2 linked regions of the Caenorhabditis elegans genome follow. The protein of the gene in region 2 purifies or fractionates together with the protein of the main gene of each other region. This does not show direct contact. Each region holds a gene or a part of one and is shown on either strand. Other genes may lie near its edges.

Region 1 (9,968 bases), on a different chromosome or scaffold from region 2:
TTTAGGATCTTGCATATTCTGGTGCCGACGAAGGATGCCTTCTTGGTCTTGATAGTATTGTTGAAGCTATGGAACCTATTGTTTCGGTGAGAATTCAATTTTAGTATCAACTAAATCTATTTGTATTATTCAGAAAGATCCCGTGACACCATCTTCATCATTCGAGAAGAAAAAGTAGAAATGTTCCTGAATATTTAAAGTATATTTTATCACTTTTTTCCGTCAACTTTTAATGACATCCTCCCGATGTAAAACTCCTCCCGTTTGTATCATTCCCATCTGATCCCAGTCAATTCATTTCCTCTGCATCTTACCCATCTTTCTTCTCTGCGTCGTTTCGTTCTCTCCCCCCTACCAAATGGGTCTCATTCAATTTTTATTTTTGTTTTTTCTTCACACTTCATAATGTGTGTTGAAGAACAAAACCAAAGAAATTTGACTGTGTTACAGTGCCAAAAATGTATTACTGAAAATAGTTGTTCTCTCTGCATAATAAACTTGTTAGTACAAACTTCATCTACAATAAATAAACTCTCTCTTTCTACAACGCGAAAAAATAAATACACAAAAAAGGGGTGCAACTTTGATTGTAGGAATGAACGGTTTTCGGACAGATATGGCATTAGTCCAGTTTGAGCTTCGGAGCATTTACAAATTCTTCGCCGTTCAAAAATATGAACATCATACAGACAAAGAAAATGACCATCCAGAAGATTGTTGCGGTGAAGTTGTCTGAAAAAATGTTTTTTTTTTGAAGGATTCGGAATATTATCGAGTATCGTGTGCAATAGTAAGTGATTAATATAGTACCTGCAACCAAAAGACAAAGAATTGTCATTGACATGGCAAACAACGCGGCAATAAGGGCAAGACCATTCTGATCCGTTGATAGAATCGAAGATTCCAGCGAAACAGGAAGATCTGACGAATCGACTAGGAAGTTACCAAGGAAGAGATCAATTGAATCTTGACGGTATCCATCTCCAAAATTATTTCGTACGTAACGGGACACTGCATTGACACCGTCTTTCATTGCTCCAACATATGTCCGTCTTCCGTGACGAGTGAAATCTGCTTTCAATGCGCCTGTTCCAGCATATTGACGACTACATTCATCACCATTATCTGCCCACACTGAAACATATTTCAATAGAAGTAATTGGTATTTGAAACTATACTTTAAAATAATCTATGCTCTGACAAGATGACCAGGGGTGTAGATTTTCCATTTTTTGGTTTTTTTTCGTGTTTGTGGCAATAATGTTATTTTTTGCATTTTTTTTTGGCAAATACTGTTTTACTACTTGATTTTTTACTACGTATCTCTTTTACTACAAGATCTCTTTTACTACGGAATCTCTTTTACTACGAATTCCGCATTTAGATCTTTTACTACAATTGGCTCTTTTACTACGTGTTCTCTTTTACTACGATTTGATCACATAGATCTTTTACTACGGAAAACACTTTTTTACTACCTTATCTTTTACTACGTGGATGTTTTACTACGTTTTACTCTTTTGCTACGGACATATTTTTACTACGTGGAGGGATACTGTTAGGTTACTGTAGAAATTTATTCACTATGAAATGAGCTTGCTCTCTTGTAAAACTTGTAAAAATTCCAGAAACATTCATGACATTTGCAAAATCCTCTATAAATGTTTCTCAAAAGATTTTCTGAAAAAGAAAAATGTAGGTCCGATACGTTTGAGAATGCAGTCTCGCTAAACACTCTTATCTCGGTCGTGTCAAAAAGATTTCAACTACAAAGTTGTTGAATATAGCATGGTCTACAATTTGTCAGTTGAACATTTTTTACCAAATTCTTTTCGCGGAGTTATCGGTACTCGGAGTCAATAAGTTTTGTGAACACACTTTCGGTAACTTATCTCTGTTGTTTTAATCTAAAATCGTGATATGAACATTCAAGATGATAGAAAACAATAAACTGCTTATTTTATACAAGATTTGATAAATCCAGAAAAAAACAAATTTTTGATCAAAAGTTCCAAAATTTCAGTTGAAGTCAAAATTTCAAACATCTGACAGATAACTGACCGAACCGCAAGTTGTTTATTACATTTTTAAAACTTATACATCAACCGGTATGGAACTAATTTTTTGGTTACGCGAAAAAAGTTAAGTACTCCAACAACAGTATCACTACAGTAACTCAACAGGATCCCTCCACTAACTCAATCTCAGTATCCAAAAAAACTGAAATTTACTAGAACTACTTGAGCACAAACTTCAATTGTGACCTATATATTTTTAGAAAATATTCATGCATTTGTTTATATCTAGCTTATACTATAAATATTGATTATTAATTCGTAGTAAAAATTACGCAACATAGTTAAAAATATAATCCCTGCCATTGTATTTAGTAAAAAATTTTTCCTAGTGAATATATTTCTAGCAATTAAAAAAAACTATAGTATATAATCTGAAAACTGTTATTTACACAATACCACTACAGTAACCTAACAGTACCCCTCCACGTAGTAAAAATATGTCCGTAGCAAAAGAGTAAAACGTAGTAAAACATCCACGTAGTAAAAGATAAGGTAGTAAAAAAGTGTTTTCCGTAGTAAAAGATCTATGTGATCAAATCGTAGTAAAAGAGAACACGTAGTGAAAGAGCCAATTGTAGTGAAAGATCTAAATGCGGAATTCGTAGTAAAAGAGATTCCGTAGTAAAAGAGATCTTGTAGTAAAAGAGATACGTAGTAAAAAATCAAGTAGTAAAACAGTATTTGCCCATTTTTTTTTGAAAAATAAGTGAGCGAAAATGATTGATATACTGACACACTCATGAATCTGCGAATTCAGATCAAAATATTGAGTTTTTTTGGAATAAAGTTGTAAACTTTACATATTTTTTTCATTGTCAGTTATTGATCTTCTAAAAAATCAACCTTCGATTTCAAACGATTTTCGTTTTTCAAAAAAATAACTTTGATTAAACTCACTTTGTTTGAATGCATCTTCAAGAAGTGGAATATCTTGAACTTTCTGCTCTGAATATAAAATTCCAAGCATTCGAAGTTGTTCGGTGAGTGATTCACGTGCCAACATCGACTGAACCACATTGGTACGATCTAGACAATCCATGCAATTCGTACGGAAAAATCCACGTTGGAATCGACTTGTTTCCATACTATTCGGGGACAAGTAAAAATATCCAAAACTCGAAATTTCTTGGCTTAACTGCTCCCGCAACAAATCAATTCGGTGCCATTGCATAGAATGACATTCTTTGTGAAAATCAAATTGATGGTAACGAACAAATTCGATATTTGCTTGTCGTGATATTCTCTCCAGTTCTCCTCCAACTTTTTTCTCTCTTCCTTTTTGATTTACAAGATTTACAATCACATGTTTACCACCATAGTGTTGCTTGTGCCACGAAAAAGCTCGATTGAAAGCAGCAAGCTGGTCATCTGTTGGTTTCAGTGTAGGCATCGGTTGCCAACGTAGATTTGGTTTTTGAGTCCAGAGAAGAGGAATAGAACCTCTCAATTGCACAAACGAAGTCAGGTGCTTGTCAGGATTCGTGTATTCAACGATTTGTTCTGTTTCAACAAAGTTTGCTGCATGACCATCTACGTCGACTCCACGTTTATAGAAACGGACGCCAGCACTGAAAAATTGAATTATACTAATAGTTTTTTTTTCAGAGAAAACTATGAAAAAACATGAAATTCGTACTAAAAAGGTTAATAATTATTTAAAACTAATATATCTTGGATTCAGACAAAACATTTTTGTGAAAAGCGAGCTCGTTGTTAGAAGTATTAATTTTTTGTCCAGAAAATCGAAATAAACGTTTTTTTAATTATTACAAATTTATTTAAAACATTTTTAAGTAAAAAAAATTACCGATAAATGCTTCTTCTGGATATGATAGTCAATTTAATCTCTTTTCCATTCACATTCACACGATTCTGGCCAATAAAACCATGAATAACGGGCAATGTGTATCTTTCTGCACCAGGGACCTGCCGGATCTGTGACAGTAGATGTCCATTCCATATGAAACGTTCGCTGGCTCTGTCCAACATACTTCTTGTTTTGAACAAAGGAACAGCGTTCTCCTGAAGCCATTGAAATGTGCGTGAGATGTCAAGAGTCGTCGAGTAGTAGAATCCGCCAATAGACAGCACATGAGTGAGCATATCAGTGAATAATCTATTATATCTAATTTGTTTCTCAGTCAAGTGAAGTGTTGTTTTCTTGTAAGGAATAATCTCGGCATCTTGAATAGTCCAGATGTTGTGATTATTAACTTGTCCGATCAAAGAAGCCTTTGTTATTACGATCAAAGCATATCCTGAGACTAGTTTAATTGTTCCCAAAATCCCATAAATAAACTTGATGTCCGTATCAGCAATTGGAACTCGCTGCTTGCGTGAATCTGTAATTATAAATTTATATTTAGATCAGACCAAAAGTCAGACTTACCAATAATTTTCATCACATTTGTGTGTCTATCGATTTCGAGATAATGTTTCGACGCAGCACCACCGCCGAGATCGGTTGGTTCTAAGAAGAATTTTTCTGGGTGTGAGTACAAGTTGAAACTCTCGTAGATGTCCATACTCAATAGACTATCCACCATTTTGGAGAGCTGAAAAGGGAATGAAGTTTGTTGTGGAAAAAAAATATGAAAAAGAAGAACGACGCATGAAAACAAAAAAATCAATAAGAGATACAACAATAGTGATAGAATACATGAAACATGTTTTCTTTGAATGCGAAAACGTGGAAACGGGTGACGACACTCCGTCTTTCATATGGGAGCGTTGTTTACCGTAAATCTACACAGACATTATTTTAAATTAATTGTATTTTTATTCTTTATATTTTTATACTTTGTGAACGTTTCGTTTCTTAAAAATTGAAGAATAGTGGTGTTTATATTAAAATCTCTCAGTCCTGATGTAAATGTGCATATTTTTAATCTATCTCTCCCACTCGGCCACCACCATGACGAAATACTTTTCTGCCATCCTCCTCCCACTAATACATTATTTAAACTGCTGAATCTTTCGAAATTGCATTGCATCATTAAAAATGATTTTACAGAAAATGGCGCTAACTAATCGACTTTTAATGAATTCGTCAGCTCTTCTAAGGTAGGCCGATAAATTAAATTATTGTGAGGGGGGCAATTATATTATTTAGAAGTTCAACGCTCCCATTAGCTGTGACATCATCACGACAGGCCCATGCTGCACATAATACTGTCATCAATTTTGTTCCACAGCAAGAAGCGTGGGTTGTAGAAAGAATGGGAAAGTTCTACAAGATTCTTGAACCGGTAACATTTCCTAAAAGGTAATTAATAAACCAACTTTTTCAGGGACTCAACTTCTTATTGCCTATCATTGATAAAATCAAATTCGTTCAAAATCTTCGTGAAATTGCAATTGAGATTCCTGAGCAAGGAGCCATTACAATTGACAATGTACAACTCAGGCTCGACGGAGTTCTTTATTTGCGTGTTTTCGATCCCTACAAGGCATGTGACGCCTGTTTTTTGATTCGCCTGTAATTGAAAAATAACACTTCTTTGTAAATTGCAGGCATCGTACGGAGTCGATGACCCAGAATTCGCAGTAACTCAATTAGCGCAGACAACGATGAGAAGTGAAGTTGGAAAAATCAATTTGGATACAGTATTCAAGGAGAGGGAATTGCTCAATGAAAATATTGTATTTGCAATCAACAAAGCATCAGCACCTTGGGGAATTCAATGTATGCGATACGAAATCAGAGATATGCAGATGCCATCAAAAATTCAAGAAGCTATGCAAATGCAAGTTGAAGCTGAGAGAAAGAAAAGAGCCGCGATTTTGGAATCAGAAGGAATCAGAGAAGCTGCCATTAATAGGTATAATATTTTTCCAATTACACATTTCATTCAGTAACATCGTGAGAGTTGTAAAAATATTCTAAATTTAAACATTTCCAGGGCCGAAGGAGACAAGAAATCAGCTATTTTGGCGTCTGAGGCTGTTCAAGCCGAACGTATCAATGTAGCAAAGGGAGAAGCAGAAGCAGTAATCCTTAAAGCCGAATCTCGTGCCAAAGCTATTGAACGTATTGCATTGGCTCTTGAGAAAGATGGAGGTGCAAATGCTGCTGGATTGACCGTTGCAGAGCAATATGTTGGAGCTTTTGGAAATCTTGCCAAGGAATCAAATACTGTTGTTCTTCCGGCAAATCTCAGTGATCCAGGAAGTATGGTTTCTCAAGCACTTGCTGTTTACGACTCATTGAGCAATAAGAAAAAGTGAAAATGTTTTGTTTGAGTTTATGTGCAAGCGTAGTTTCCGTTTCTCCATTTTCATATTTCCCTGTTTCTAAATTTTGGTTTACTGGTATTTGAATGTAATTTTACATCATCTTTTCAAAAATCTCTTGATTGTTCGTTATTCTAAATTTTCAGCAGATGAATTAGTTGAATTTTCATTTGAATTCAATTTAAAATGCAGATAACATGATTTTCAGAGGAAAACTGTTTAGTGAAAAATTTGAAAATAATAAACAAAATTTTCTTTAAAAAACTTGATCAACATTGAAAACTATTCTTGTAATAAGTTCCATTAGCTTTCAACAACATCTCACGAAACTGTGGAAAGTAGGAAAGCCATTGAGAATCTGGATTATTTCCTGTTTTATTGGTTTTTATCATTTCACGAACGCAAATTATCGTTCCAAAATCGAAGTTGGCGGTCACTTTGTTTGCTGAAAAATCAATTTATTTATAAACATGAATGTTCAAAAATCACCAATAACCATCGGACTTTTTGAAAGTTCTTGTAGAAATTCGACTCCAATTACACATATTGAATGCCTTAACCACTTGGATTTACAATCTTGATATAGTCCGTCGGATTGTTCAAGATGCCAATGAGTTTGACTGTAATTTTCAGTTTTCTATTTGCAATGTAAGCCTGCCTTCAAGGTGACCTACACGAGCCTGATTCTGCACTTGGTACACTTGGAAATTATTATCATTAGAATTTTCAAGAGAGTCAAATAAAGAGCAAAAAAATAGGTGACATGCAGACATGAGGTAGGCAGGCACAAACAAATGAAGGCATGCCTATCCTATACAAACCGTGTTAATATATCTTCCTTTGCCACGGTACAATTAGATTCCATTTGCCCATCTAATCCCAAATAGTTTTCAAAAAGTGTCATAACCATCATTTCGTCAACCCCAAAAAGCTGAAATTGAATATTATTCTCGTTTTCAAGAGTAGAACATTACCGTTCTATCATCAAATCTTTTGATTACATTTTGCAGATTCACTTTATCAAATAAAGACTTGACAAATACCTTCGAAAGGATTACTTCGTTTAAACTTTTTCGAATTTTTAGTTTTTTGTGGAGTATTTCCAGAGGTACACTTTGTTCTGAAAATAAAATTATGTTACTCTGTCATGTAATTTTTCGATATAAGAATGCGGCACCTCGTCTCAAAGGCCTCCAAGCAAGGAGTACTGTAGCATCTCAAGTCTACAGGACCTTAAAGACGCAAACCTGTTCGTGCTGTTCGATTAGAAAATATTTTGTACTTTTTGTGAGACTGGTTTAATTAAAGACGTTTTGCACTATAAATCCTAAAATTTAAGTAATGTGCAAAAAGAAAAAAAGCATAAAAGTCTAGGCGGCATCAGCCTTTGGAATGGTTTTTTAAAATTTATTTTTTTATTTTTAAGAAATAATTCAGTCGGCTCAAAGAAGTTTTGGTACTTTTAGGAAATGTTTTCTCATCTCTATTTTGTACTATTCTCTATATGAATAAATGTAGTCTATCAAAATTATAAGCCCACATGAAAAAAGGAAAACCATTTTTGAAAAGTTTCATTCCAGCTGGAGTCCAATCTTCAAATGTTCGATATCTACTTGTAAATCCATAGTCAAAACCCATGATACTGGTGTAATTTAGAATTTCACTGAGATCAGATAGTTGTTTAGGAGATTTGATTATCAAGTCGAAGTTCTGAAAATAATATTTTTAAAGAAAGAAAACTGAAAAGAAGAACAATTCAGAATTTCAAGAAAATATTTTTTTACCTGTAATGTAATGGCATGACTCCAATGTTCATCAAGAATTTGTTTTAAACAATCAAAATGTGCAGCATCTTGTTTATGACCAGCTCTATCCATATCATATTCTTTATCCAACACAATCACATTTTCAAAGCAATCAGCCATTATTCTCATAGATTTCTTCAATTTTTCACTACTTTTTGAATCCATTGCATAACAGAAATAGTTATCCGGGTGATATGAAATGGATAGAAAAACCTCTTGTAATTCATATATTCCATAGATATTTCGAACAAATGCAATAGGTCTTTTCAATTTTTCAAATGGAGGCATATCTCGAAAAATACGATTTTGAATTGAATCACAATCCATTGAAAGTTGAAATAATTTCTCTTCATCTAACTTCATTCTTCCATTATTAACATATGTGTCAATGGACTCCACATCTCCGTCGATTAGTCTAGCACAATTTAAATATCGACTTTCAGATCTGAATAGTTTTTTTTTTAATTTCAAAACATAAGTAGGTTTTGCATACTCTGTAAAATAATAATCTGCGAATTTCGTGATGCTTCTTGTTATATGCTTCAGAGGAGCGCGCTCTTTTCCAGATAATCTCACGATAAATTTGTTCGGAATCTGAAATTTATGAAATTATGAGAAAGAAATCGGTCAATCAGTGGTTCGCGGGGCGTGGCTAACATTGCTAATTGGTGGACACAAGAACTTTAATTTCAAAATTTTTTATTATTTTTCAGATATTTTTTCTGATTTTCAGCCTACGTTTTAGTGAAGTTTATTTTGGAAAATATCGAAAAGTTCTGATTTTTCCAAGTTTTATTTATTTATTTTACTTACCATCATTGATTTGTAGGAAACTGTTAGTAAAATTGAAAAAGAAATTAAAAGAGCTATAAAAATAAATATTCGAATTGACCATTTTGGCTCCTGAAACTTCTTCAGAGATTCGTCCGTATTCTGGAAAGAAATGCATTTTCAACATGCGAAAAGCTTGATCGCTCAAAAAATTTTAAAACCTACATCACTAAGCCTAGTATAATGAACCATTCTTTTGCATTGAAATTCAAATAAAACTAACTATTAAAATTTGAAAGTGTCCTCAGTTCAGTTCTGAATGCTTGCGTTTTGCAATTGTATTTTTTTTTCATAAAAAGCTTCACACAATAAATGTATAAAAAGCTTTGACTTTTGAGGATACGCTGCTGTACATCAAGTACATGTGTAGCCTATACTCATATTTATTTATTATTTATTACTACATCCAGTTCTCTTCACGGGCGGGACACTGATACCTGCTGCTCAGCAGAAAAAGCCTCGGAAAAACTTTAAAAAATTCTAAGGCGCGTGAAGGGCTCTTGAAGAAGGGCCACCGGGAATATATCGGTGGTAGAAGGGTGAGATGTCTACTTTTAGAGGACGTATGTCTTAAAATAATAAAAATATTCCAAACATTTATTGTACACAAATAAATACTTACAATATTAAATCTTGACAATTTTTAAAATTATAATTCAATTATAACTTAAGTTATAATTTTGGAAAGTTCTATTAATCAAGAGGTTCTCCTGTAATGAGTGCAGCATTGAATACATTGGCTTCTTTTTTGGAGAATTAACTGGTGAAATTGTCATCTTGGTCTTCGATTCGTCAGTTGAATTATCCCTGGGTTTCACATACTTCAAATTCATAAAATCTCTCCAATTATTCAATTGCACATTTGAAGACCACGTAGATAACTGAATGGAAAATTCAATGAAATTGATTTTCAGATATTGAATTGTCCCATTGATTGTGATAGGATTGCTCCTGAAAATTAAAAAAAAACAATTTTAAGTTCTCAGACAATGTGAAGAAACTTGATGAACTTTATTACTTT
Region 2 (11,593 bases):
CCGGACTTGAACTCGTGACCTCCAGACTGCTAGCGGCCACCACTACCAACTGAGCTATCTGCCCCCCCCCCCCAAATTATACATGAACGATCGTATCAAATATTTTTTCAAAACGTCCGGATTCGAGTTAATTTCTTAACACATTGTTGATTCTAACATCCCGATTTTTCAGATGCTCAGTGTATATATCACAGTTTTGGCTGCATTTGACTGTTTCTATTCTGTATATTGGTAAGTTCCTCATTTCATTAATCAAACCATTCAAACTTAATCGTCCAGTGGAACAAAATGCGAGCCAAAACGCAGCACATGGGCTCCACGGGTTCTCGCGCTTGTCGTCATTTCGGTGGCCGGCTATAATATTGTTCAATTTGGAGATTTGCAGGTACAACAATTGAAATTCGAATAGAATCAGAATCCATTTTGTTGCAGGCTATTGAATGTCTTCACCCGGACAATTACACACTTTTTGAGTTATGCCCTACTGAAATGAGGGTCAGTGAAACATATGTCATTGTGTATAAGTAAGTAACTTGGACTGGTATTTCAAACTTCTATTCAATGTAAAAAACTTGTTCAGAGGATATCTTTATGCACTTTCAATGGCATTTCTCCCATTTGTACTTCTCACGTTTTTAACTGTTTCGATCATTGTAATGCTTCGTCGGAAAAACGAAACAATGCACATGGACAAGGCAGAGAAAGAAGGTGAGAAATAAGGAAAATAACCGTTTATTTTTTCCTACAATTCTGAAAATAGAATTGGTAATCCGATGCAAGTTTATCTAGTTCTTTATGCCGCTGAGACGTTGTGTCTCCCATTTATAACTGAATTATACATTTTCATAGATTGTGTTTGCGCCTCATCTGAGTGTTTTTATAATCATCTCAAGCTGTCTTAAATGTGAAATTGTGTTGTTTTTTTAACGAAAAAGAATAGGGGACCACGTTGATAAATATGTCTGGCTTGGAAATAATGATGTTAGGCCACAGAGTTGTTCTGCTTTTGGTCTGTTTTTTGAAATGAGAAAACCCAACCAAAAGGTGTTCTTCAAATTGTTTTGCATGTGTTTCAGCCTCCAGTTAAATTATTTTTGGAAAAACTCAAAGTGAATTCTATTCTAGAAACTATTTTTCTTGCGAAAATCTCTGCCTAAAAATGATTACTATTTTCTTTTTTTCAGAATGCGAAGATGACGGGGGCAATAATCCGGTTGTACTTCTTCTAGTGGTTCTCCTATTTCTCTGTTGCAATTTGACATCACTTCTAGTCAATGTTTTTGAAATGCTCAAGTTGTAAGCGGTATTCATCATATAATCCGTATAATCTTCTTTTCTTCTTTCAGTAATATGGCATTTGAAACAGAAGCAGTGCTCATTGACATTGGAAATTTTTTGGTGGTTATCAATGCGACGGCCAACTTTTTTGTATACATGGGGTCGTCGGAAGAGTTTCGCTCGTCATTTTATCAGCGGATTCGGCAATTGTGGAGGCCAAAATCGACGAGATTACCCTTGCTTCATGATCATAGAATACGACTTTTCAATAGGAATCCGGTTGCGAGTAGCATATGAGTATTCTTCAATTACAAACAGTTTTTACCGGTATTCATCGCCATGTAATTAGCTTTTCTGAAACTTTTCATACGGTTTCTAGAGATTCTATGAATCTCTGAAATTGTTCAAACATATATTATGATCTTCACCAAAATCACGTGTCAATTGCTTTGTTGGGTTATCATTTGTGTATTCATTTTCTATTTCTATTTTGAAGTGAAACATTTAAATCTCGATAATAAAATAATTTCATTCAACAAATATGAATACGAGAAAGAAGTGAATCACAGAAATTAAGTTAGACCAGTATCAAAGCATCAATGATTTCAAACTAATAAGGCTGCCACGGGAATAAACACAAACTGTACACAATAAAATTCAACCCGGTTGTTGAGAATCACAACAAGTGAATTGGTAGACGGGGAGAGGCTGCCGGGCAAAAAGCTGAGAAAGTGATAGCCATCATACATAAATAATTGAACATAAAAATTAGAAAAATAATTAATCTAAAAAAACAGGTTTTTACACAAGAAAACCGGGTATTATACATTAATAAGACCTAATTGATCCGAGTCCAGTCCACTGATCAGGTACAACCGGAAAGTACGAGTCGATGGCTTCCGAGAATCTGGCACAATACATTTCCGGACTCAGAATTGTTGGCAAGTGTGCTCCGGGAATGGCAACGATTTTCACCCATGATTCGAGTTTCTGAAAATTGTTTATTCAAAATAAGTGACTGTATGGGAAATTTAAAGGATTGATTTTATTTTCAGACTTAAACGGTAGAAAATAAGTCGATATCTATTCTATCTTTTTGTCAATTTTCTACCTAGCTCTACGTCAATATAAACTTCTCATCAAAAAGTCATGTTCATTCCAGAAATCAATCAGAGTTTATCGCAAAGTTAAACGTTCAAACACTGACCTTATCCAACGTATACGTTCTCATGTAGTCAACAATGCCCAGAATCAATTCTCCGTTGTCATCGTCGACACCAACCAGAAGCGAGTAGTCCATGATGTATTGAGAGCTCAGGAAGTGGCTGTCATTGCTGATCGCTTGATTCATGGCCGCTTTTGAGTGCGGCAGCACATAGAGCTGCTGATTCCAGAGGTCTTTCACAAAGTTTTCGTCCAAAAGAACCATCTCGTTGGCGCTTTTTCCAGTCGATGCGAGTCTAAAAAAACGTCATATGATCTTTAAAAACACAAAGAAAAAATGTATGATCAATTAGTCATAATACACTTAAAAGCAAAGTACGTCAGAAATTATCTAAATACAACAACCGGGAAAATTTGGTTATTTGTACTATTATTATCAGTATATACCTATAACCCACCTATTCCGAAGAGAGCCCTTCAGGTCCCAGACTTGGCTAACATTGTGATTGTAAAACAGGTACTCCATTACAAGAATGTCAACTTTCAATGTAGTCGTCTTGCTCTTGTATCCTATTCTAAACACTCCATATACTTTGCACAGGGTCGTCAATTTGCTTTCGGTCGCCGACGTTGTCAGATAATCAAAATAGTTGGGGGCAAACTTTACAAATGACTGAATCTCAAACCGTGACATTTGCTTCACCACAAATCGATCATCTTGAGTGCGGTAGAAAAATGAGCCGGATTTTCCACCTTGTGGTGTCCAGAAAGTGCTGTTGGAGAGGGAACGGATAAAAGTCTCTTCTCCTTCTGCAATGAGAAGTTCACGAAGTTTTCGGAATTTCTCGGCGTACAGCATCTGAAAAAATTGATATAATTTTGTCACATTTTAAGGCCCATTTTTTTACATTACATCTATTTTCAGCGTCTAGACGTAATAACAACTTTATTTAATATTCTATATGTGCCCTAGACCAATTGAAAATGTTGCACTTTTTAATGAGGCATCTGAAAATAAAGGCTCCAATATACAAAAACAAAAAAAATTGAGGGTGAGATTACAAGGGAATTTTCTCATAATATATAGCAGACTTACTTTCACATAGTATGACGCAGATTCATCCTCAAATTCCACCTCCAAGTGTTGACTAGAAGCGAGGTTTTCCCCATCATCCATCTGTGAAAATTTCAGAGAAGAGCTAGCCGAGTCCATTGAAACAGTGTCAGCTGCCTCAGGGATCTTATTGTAGTCAACTGCAGACAATGCGTATGCAATGATACTCCCAATATCTGGCTTGAAGTTTCCTCGAGTGTCTTGAATATCTCGTACCACTACTCCAAGTCTGGGTTGTAGCTTGATGGCAAGGTGAAGATGAGAGGGAAACGGATTTTCCAGTTTTTGAAGTGTGGCAATCTCTTGAATATCTTCTGGAGTTCTCTTGGGATACTTAATTGCTGCACAATTCTCATTCCAAAGAGCAATCAGATTGTATGTTACTTCTCTCACTTTCATAAATGTGCCAGTTACTTCTCTGTACAACCGATCATTTGACCGGATAAGATCCTCATCACCAGAGAGAATGTTTTTAGCAAACATCCTGCTCTCGCTTGCCAATGCCATTGTGTTCCGGATTGCACCAGCCAGTTTGACAACTATCGGAGTGATCTGAACTTCCTCATCAAGTTCTGCCAGCTGTTTGTTGGTGTCCTCACAAGCAGTCAGCGCAAGAGTGGCTATCCTGCTGACATCGTCCGAGAGCTCTTTTCTGCTCACTTTCAAAACCTTGACGCTGCAAATGATGGGCGAGAAGACAACACTGTAGGGGCGTATCTGAAAATATAAGGCTTTGCTGATTTTATAAAGTTTTATAAAGTATGCTTATATTAAAATAAAAAATCGCTTCTCAAACATTAAAACTATTTAAAAATTAAATACTTTGTATTTTTAGTATGTTTCTGTTTCTTCAATTTTTGTTGAACAAAACTTACCGCTATTACTTTGAATGTTGTCACCAAATTATCCATTGCAAAAAAGTACAACTTTTCATGGAAAAAGCAATGCGAGCATTGATTCTGATTAGTTATTGGGTAGATTGTGTCGGTGGTGAAGCACGAATTTCCAATGTACTCTAAGAATTTTGCAAACGACAGATGCCAGATTGCTTTGTCAAATTTCACCATTTGTGATGAACAGTTGCATCTGAAAATAACGAAATTTAAAAAAAAAGTTTAATAAAAGCGAAAATAATGTTCTTACTTTCCACAATTTCGCCATGTCATGATGCTCTTCTGCTGTTCTGATTCTATGGCGTTTTCTGCTTCGTTCACAGTTTGAGTTGAAATTTCTACGCAAACTTTTCCATAAACCAACTTTCTTGAATGATCCAGCATAGGTACCTCACAGTTTGATGACGGACATTCATAACTACGATTAAAACAGAACTTCACAAGAAACTCTCCGATTGTCATATCATGGTCCTTGTAGTACTGCATACTTACCACCCACGGACGTACACAAAAGTACGGAGCGTTGGGTGACTTTCGAGAAAACGAGCCAAAAAGGACAGCAAGTGTCTGATGAACTCTTGGATCTAAAACATCCTTTGCACGGAATGGCTGCTTCTCGGTCTCCACAATTTTTCTATGCTTCACAATTTGAGCAGTTCGTCGCCGAAAATTGATTCCTCCAAAAAGGCGGAAAGATCTTGCCACATTGTCAAGGATCGCACCACGATTACATTGAGCAAAAGCGTGTCGACGGTCTACCAGAAGTGGTTCTTTCTTTGGGATAGGTACAATATCTTCTTCGTATCCTTGCTTGATGAGCTCAACATCGCCAGGCTTTAAAAGTTTATACAGTGGTTGCTTGAAGTAGGCAATGAGCGGACATTCCCTGAAATTTGTGAATAAATTTTTCTGGTGTTTTTTTAAATTTAATTTTGAATCTATGTTGAAAAATTATGCATGTTTTTGAAAAATATTTTTATGAATAGAAGTCGTTTTCATGAATTGTAAACTAATCTTTTTAACTGATTAGATATTCATGCTAGAAATATATTTTTAAAAAACTTCTATGTTAGGCTAGGTTTAGTGTTGTGTTAGGCAAAACTTTTACAATTGCTTTAATATGATTATTTCATAAATTGCCCGCAGTGTGCACTCTGACGTGACCGTGTTTGCAGATTTTTATGAGGCGCTCTTTTCACTCACCTCCCGGTTGCAGTCTCCAAAAGTGGTGGCTCAAATTCAATCACTGGTGAGCTTGACAGCATCGTCGCATAGAGATTCTTTTCAAATTCAGTCTGAAAATACAAAAACATATGAGAAACGATGTTGATAAACCATCAACCTTTTCACCCTGCGAGTAAACGATAGCACGGCGTTTTTCACAAACAACGCAATCAGATTGTCTCCTCGCAATTGTAGTATTAAAAGCATTTAGATAGGATTGCTCCAAGTAATTAGAGTAGACAATAGTGACCAGGAACTGCACAACACGTTTCACGGCCACTAATTCTTTCAAATCATCTCCATGCAAGAGCACTGTACATCCAGTTTCCTTTTGGCAATCAGCAAAGATCATCAAAGTCTTGATCCTTCCGTCCTCCTGTTGCATATTCCGTTGTTGAAATTCCGGGCAACATCCTAAATTTTGCTCAACCAACTGAGAATCTGAGTTTGAGACAATATCAGCTCCAGTGGCTCTTGAAATACGTTGTAATATACTCATTTTCACATTGACCGCTACTTTGATTCCACGCTTGTGAAGCAGTTGAGCAGCGATATGCGAGACTCCTCCTTCCACTAGAATCAATGAAGCACGTTTGGTGGCAATTCGATCAATCTGGAAAATTGTTTATTCTATTTAGTTTCGATTTCAATGGTTGTATAATACAAGTGCATTTATTCAGACGTGTGGTACTTATTCATATTGTCAACTTTTAGATTAGCAACTAAATCTGACACACACACAGTTAATGACTATTTCCATGAACATACGCACCTGCTTCTCTAAAAATTTCTCTTCTTGCACAATAATCGGCTCAATAGATGAAAGTTTGTTTGAGACTCTTTCATATTCAATTGAACCGCTAACAATCATAATTGACTCGGTCGTATGGCTGCTTTCATCTTCTTCTGACAAACTTTTGTAGACTAAACTTCTACTGCAAGCCACTCCCCAAATGATTTCCGAATCAACTTTCCCTTCTTTCTTGTGAACTTTCTTGACGTGTACGTAGTCAGCAATATTCATTGTGTCTCCACTTGGAACGTTCACAGTTACATTCTCCACTACTTCATAGACACTCTTCAGAATTAGATCTCTCCATTTGTCTTCTCGGATGTACTCTCGTTTCATCACTTCGTCTAGAATTCGTTCAGTATTTCGGCGGAACAACTCTTCCAAATTGTCCCGCTGTTCTTCCTTCGCTGCGTTCATAACGGATTCATCAAGTGACAGGGACGGAAAGGTGATTTTACGATCAGTAGTGGCTGAGGTTGGCTCCGCAGCTCTGGCATCCATCATTTCTGTAAACTCGTTGGTTATCGCTCCAGCGAGATTTGCATACGCAAAAACATCAGCTGAGTCGGAAGTCTGAAAGTCAAACAAAATAATAAATTATTTCCACAATTAAATATTTAAGCTTCCTCACTTCATTGTTGATAACACCGTCCATTCCAGGATGCATTGTTCGAAACCAGTCTGGTCCCGATTCCTCTTCCTCGGTGATCATTGGATGGGAATGACTGTTTGTGAGCATAGCCGAGTTTGATGCACAGAGATCCGCAACTGATAGAATTGTCGGAACTCCTGGACCATTGCTACTTTGAGCCAACGAGTTGCGGCGGCTTCCAAGTTGAGGTGGGGATGTAATTTCCGGAGGCATCGACGATTCTGGGGGGCAGAGTGACCAAATAGCTCCTGAAATTATTTGTCTTTAATTTCTATGTAGAATGTTTGTGTTTAGCTAAACTAATAGAGTTATGTCGTTGTGAAAATATGAACAACTGCCAGTGTTCTTGAAAGCTCAAGCCTCGTAGATACATTTTTAAAAAGACAATAAAAAATTAAACTAAGAATCCTAATGCCCTCTTGGAATCGGAAAATCTCACCATTCGAAACTGTTCTCACAGTATCCGAATTCTTGTGTGCAGTATTCCTATCAAAGCTAATTTTTCTGCTGTTCACTGGCGTCTGACTTCTTGTCGTCGACGTCGTCGGCGTCTGCTTTCCCTCTTCGGCAAGTCGTTGAACCTTTCGAGCACAGTAATCACAAAGTCTGAGCTCGCCCATGTATCCCAAAGCTGCTCCGTCAATGTGACTACTACAACATTTTGCACAGAAAATCTGTCCGCAAAGTCGACAATGATGACGTCGTCGGAAAGTTGTGAACCGTTCTTCGCACTGGTAACACTCTCTTCCCGTTGAGTCAGGCATCCAGTATTGTTCTAAAAAAATTTGAATTGACGTCAGAGTGCTTATAGAATATGAAATACTTACTGAAATTGCTGTCGTTGTAGTCTTTGAGCTGCGGGTTAACTTTTGATTTGAGTAATCCTGTGAACTTATCGGTTAAAGATCTTTGAAAGCCACTTTCTTCGGATGTTCGGGATTCTGGAATAGAGGATCATTGTTTGTCGATCAGATAATAAGAAAATTTCCGATGTTTTTATATTATAGAGTTATTAAAATCAAACAATTCATCAGAATCGAAATGAATTGCAAAATTTGTTTCTCCGAAAAATGCACAAAATAATTGTTATATATTTTTAGTCGATGAAAATCTACCTCCAGACTCCGTCCTCTCCAAGTTCTGTCTTTCTTCTGTGGGAGGCACAACTCCGTTTGGCTGCGGCGATCCATCGCTTCGGAATATTTGCCCAATAATGTTTGAAAAGTAACCACCTGAAGACACTATCAACTTTTATTAATAAAAATAATTCAAATCACACAAAAAACTTACCGGAAACTGGTGTTGGTTCTTCTGTTTCTGGTGGTGGCTCGAGTTTTTCAAAAAACTGCAACTCGCTGGCATCCCCCATTACTCTGGAATTGATAGATCCGAGTATTTGGATAAATATATAACAAAGCACTAGCAGAGAGATTTAATTGGAGAAAAAGAAGGAAGAGATCCAAGTGAGCGGCATGGGGAAATGAAAGAAAGATCAAACCATCAAAACAGGCAAGTTGCGGAGGCAGTGTTGCTAGCGAGAGACTGTGCTAAAACAGGAGGGTGTTGGCAGAGGAGCGCATTTGCTGACCTCTTTGGGTCAGCAAAGAAAAGTTATTCCCGCGCAATTAGACGGATAGGCGGAAAAAAACAAGGTGTGTACATGCAGTGTTCCATGTTTCGCTGTTTATTTCCCGGGAAAAAACTCATATTGATATTTCAGAAAAGATTGCGAAATCTTTCTTATATATATTGAAAAAAGTGCAATTTTTTTCTAAGTTTTATTCTCAACTCCGCTCGAAAATCGACAATAATGTATGGGAAACCAAAAACCAAAAAAAGAGCAGAATCTCATGCTCTGCGATCACAACTAATAAAATTAACACCAGGAGCGTGAACAAAAATCAAATAAAACTGGGAATGCATGTCAGATGCAACTTTGCCACACTACTGCAAACGTGTTGCGCAATGTGCAGCTGGTCACAGTGATGAGTCTGTAATGTCTGTATTGCTTCAATCAGTACCACCAAACTATGACGAATACTTCCTCATAAGCATTGCTGTTCTTATGAGTGAAGTTGAGGTTTAAAAGTAATTATTTATGAAATAAATAACAAATTTTAGTAAGACAATTTTCAATTTCAACCTACAAAAAATACATGACAGACAATGCTTTTAAGACCAGACGAGATCCAGAAGAGCATTAAATGACATTATGTATATACATTTTCCTCTCTACCGTAACTGTTTCGACAAAATATGTGCAAATATTTTTCTACGTTTTTGACAGATTTTTTGCTAATACTGAAATTAACCGAAGTATAAGTCGTCATAATAGAACAATATTTCACATGTCATGCTTTACAATTCTGGAATGCTAATTAAAGTACCAATTATATTATCCAACTTTTCACATGCTTCCTCGTTCAAATTTTCTCACTGGCCACGGCATGTCACCATTGATCTCTGAGCATCGAAAAAATTGTGAGCCCCGCCAAGATGCCGCGGCGACGCCCCCAAGTGAATTCGCCCAATATTTATCTCGTCGGCACCGGACACCCTCTAGAGAGACCATCTCCTACTCATTTTTCAAATCGGCCCCCGGCTAGTCTCGCGACCTTACCACACTTGTTGCCTTTTTACTTATTTAGCAAGTTACTGAGAGTCGTACAAATTTTTGAGAATACCGTTTTTTTTCTAAGTTTATTAACTATCTGAAAATGCAGATTATGTTTTATTAACATGTTGACAATTTCTTGCTTCTATTATATTTTTTTTTTTAAATACAATTTCCCCATATGGCAAATTTCAGTATTCACTATGAGCTTTTCAAAAGAAAACGAAATAGATTCATTTCCAATTGATCGTGTGACCGGAAGAGTTCGCGGTTCAGTGAATATGATTGATATACAGAGAAATGTGGAATGGGTTGAAGTTAGCGGACGGTGGAGTAGAATGTCGGTAAGAAAAACTTACAGGTCCCATTTTGGTTCGTCCACAGCTTCTAGAGCAGTTTCTGGAGCAGTTTCCAGTTCAGCAGTAGTAGAAGTAGTTGTATCTCGTATTGTAGTAGTTTCTTGACTTGCAATTGGCTGTAAGATTTTCAAAAATTTGCAAAGGAACATAAAAAATTACTTACTGGTTGCCACCACGTTGCAAATAATGTTCTGCTGACATATTCAAAAATAGAAATCTGATTAGTTTTCTGAATTTCGGTGCGATAACGAACTTTCGGAAAAAAGAATAGATATGATCGTCGATTTGAATTATCTGAATTCATGATGGCCCTTTCAAATGCTAGCACGTTTAATTTATATTATTTCTTAACAATGAGGAATAATAGACTGAAGATGGGCAGAAAATCGATTTTATGATAAATGTGTTTGTTCACTTCTTTGCCGCGTAGGGGTGCTCATTTCGTATTCTTTTATGTAAACATGAATTGATTACAGATAATGGGAACATCTCTGACACCAGACATTTTGACGATCGAAAATCAAGGAGAGAAGGATGAACGAATCATTATTTTTATGATTCCAGATAATGTTTTTTCATGGGCTTTCAAAAAGATAATTATTTGAAAATCCGATTCAACCAAATTTAGAACATGTAAATTGCTTTTAGTAACACATTTTCCCTAATAGTTCGTTAGATCTTTTTTTCGTTTGTGAGAGGACATTGTAATTGTTGTAAATTTTAAATAGTTCATTTGGGACGAACATGAAAGAAAACAACTTTTGTGTGACAAAGTCATGCTTTACATTTAAAAAAACATGCATATATTCCTCGAGCCGAGTTATTTATTTTCATCAAAAAGCAAGCTGGCTACTACCAAAAAAAACTATTCATCAATCTTAACTATAAAGTTCTTTAAAAATCAACAGGTTATCAAGTAGCCAAAATAAACATATTTTCAACTTATTCTGTAATGTGTGACGTCATACAATTTGAATTTTTTCCAGATCACTTTGGAACTAATATTTGTGTTTTAGTGGTTCCTAAAATAGGTTGTTCGAAATTTTGAACGGCCATAACATTTTTTTTTCAATTTTTGAGATGTTTGATTACGAAATTTGTTTATTAGTTCTCATTTTGGGTCTATGCAATTAAAATCGTCCGAACTGTTAGTCCTCCTTTAATGTTTCTTTGAACTTTCACATTCAATGAACACAATTTTCTGTTTTGGCGTTTTTGCACTTGTCTATCTTTCATATCTTAGACCTATCAATCAACATGAATATTTCACCATTTTTGTTGGCATATTTGGTTCTATTTCCACTCCACATTATCAAGTTTACACATGTTCTAGGCAATCCTGGCAATGATGGATTCTACACGGACTTTGGACGACGTTTGATCCGCAATTTGATTGCCCGCGAGGAACGACTTGGCACCAGACGCGTCCAGTTTGTGTTCTACACATTGTCACATCTGAATCATGTTCTTCTTCCCACATCACTGCGATGTTCAGAAAGTCA

The links.
Region 1: the proteins of ppk-3 (region 2) and sacm-1L fractionate together in Caenorhabditis elegans (co-fractionation; one large-scale study listed by BioGRID). This does not show direct contact.

Annotation. Positions count from the first base shown.
Region 1 is NC_003279.8:9,483,153-9,493,120, reverse strand, and holds sacm-1L (Phosphatidylinositol-3-phosphatase SAC1), read right to left. Parts: upstream 4,634-9,968; 5' UTR 4,625-4,633; coding exon 4,468-4,624; intron 4,421-4,467; coding exon 3,886-4,420; intron 3,647-3,885; coding exon 2,976-3,646; intron 1,135-2,975; coding exon 811-1,134; intron 733-810; coding exon 623-732; 3' UTR 501-622; downstream 1-500. Other genes in the region: F30A10.3 (Kinase), read left to right, coding at 6-86, 134-178; Stomatin-like protein stl-1, read left to right, coding at 5,095-5,141, 5,191-5,326, 5,369-5,527, 5,592-5,899, 5,981-6,305; gly-21 (GLYcosylation related), read right to left, coding at 6,581-6,756, 6,801-6,931, 7,133-7,242, 7,286-7,431, 7,868-8,021, 8,096-8,561, 8,610-8,710, 8,930-9,049 and 1 more; F30A10.15 (uncharacterized protein), read right to left, coding at 9,604-9,898.
Region 2 is NC_003284.9:12,967,157-12,978,749, forward strand, and holds ppk-3 (1-phosphatidylinositol-3-phosphate 5-kinase), read right to left. Parts: upstream 8,488-11,593; coding exon 8,409-8,487; intron 8,360-8,408; coding exon 8,234-8,359; intron 8,060-8,233; coding exon 7,946-8,059; intron 7,894-7,945; coding exon 7,558-7,893; intron 7,367-7,557; coding exon 7,098-7,366; intron 7,040-7,097; coding exon 6,446-7,039; intron 6,287-6,445; coding exon 5,792-6,286; intron 5,745-5,791; coding exon 5,653-5,744; intron 5,336-5,652; coding exon 4,700-5,335; intron 4,643-4,699; coding exon 4,432-4,642; intron 4,274-4,431; coding exon 3,539-4,273; intron 3,302-3,538; coding exon 2,901-3,301; intron 2,739-2,900; coding exon 2,486-2,738; intron 2,269-2,485; coding exon 2,107-2,268; 3' UTR 1,794-2,106; downstream 1-1,793. Other genes in the region: frpr-2 (G-protein coupled receptors family 1 profile domain-containing protein), read left to right, coding at 173-231, 280-385, 433-524, 581-708, 1,185-1,296, 1,347-1,575; F11C1.10 (Photosystem reaction center subunit H), read left to right, coding at 9,936-10,076, 10,568-10,696; F11C1.9 (uncharacterized protein), read right to left, coding at 10,088-10,207, 10,255-10,395; F11C1.4 (Lipid droplet-associated hydrolase), read left to right, coding at 11,349-11,593.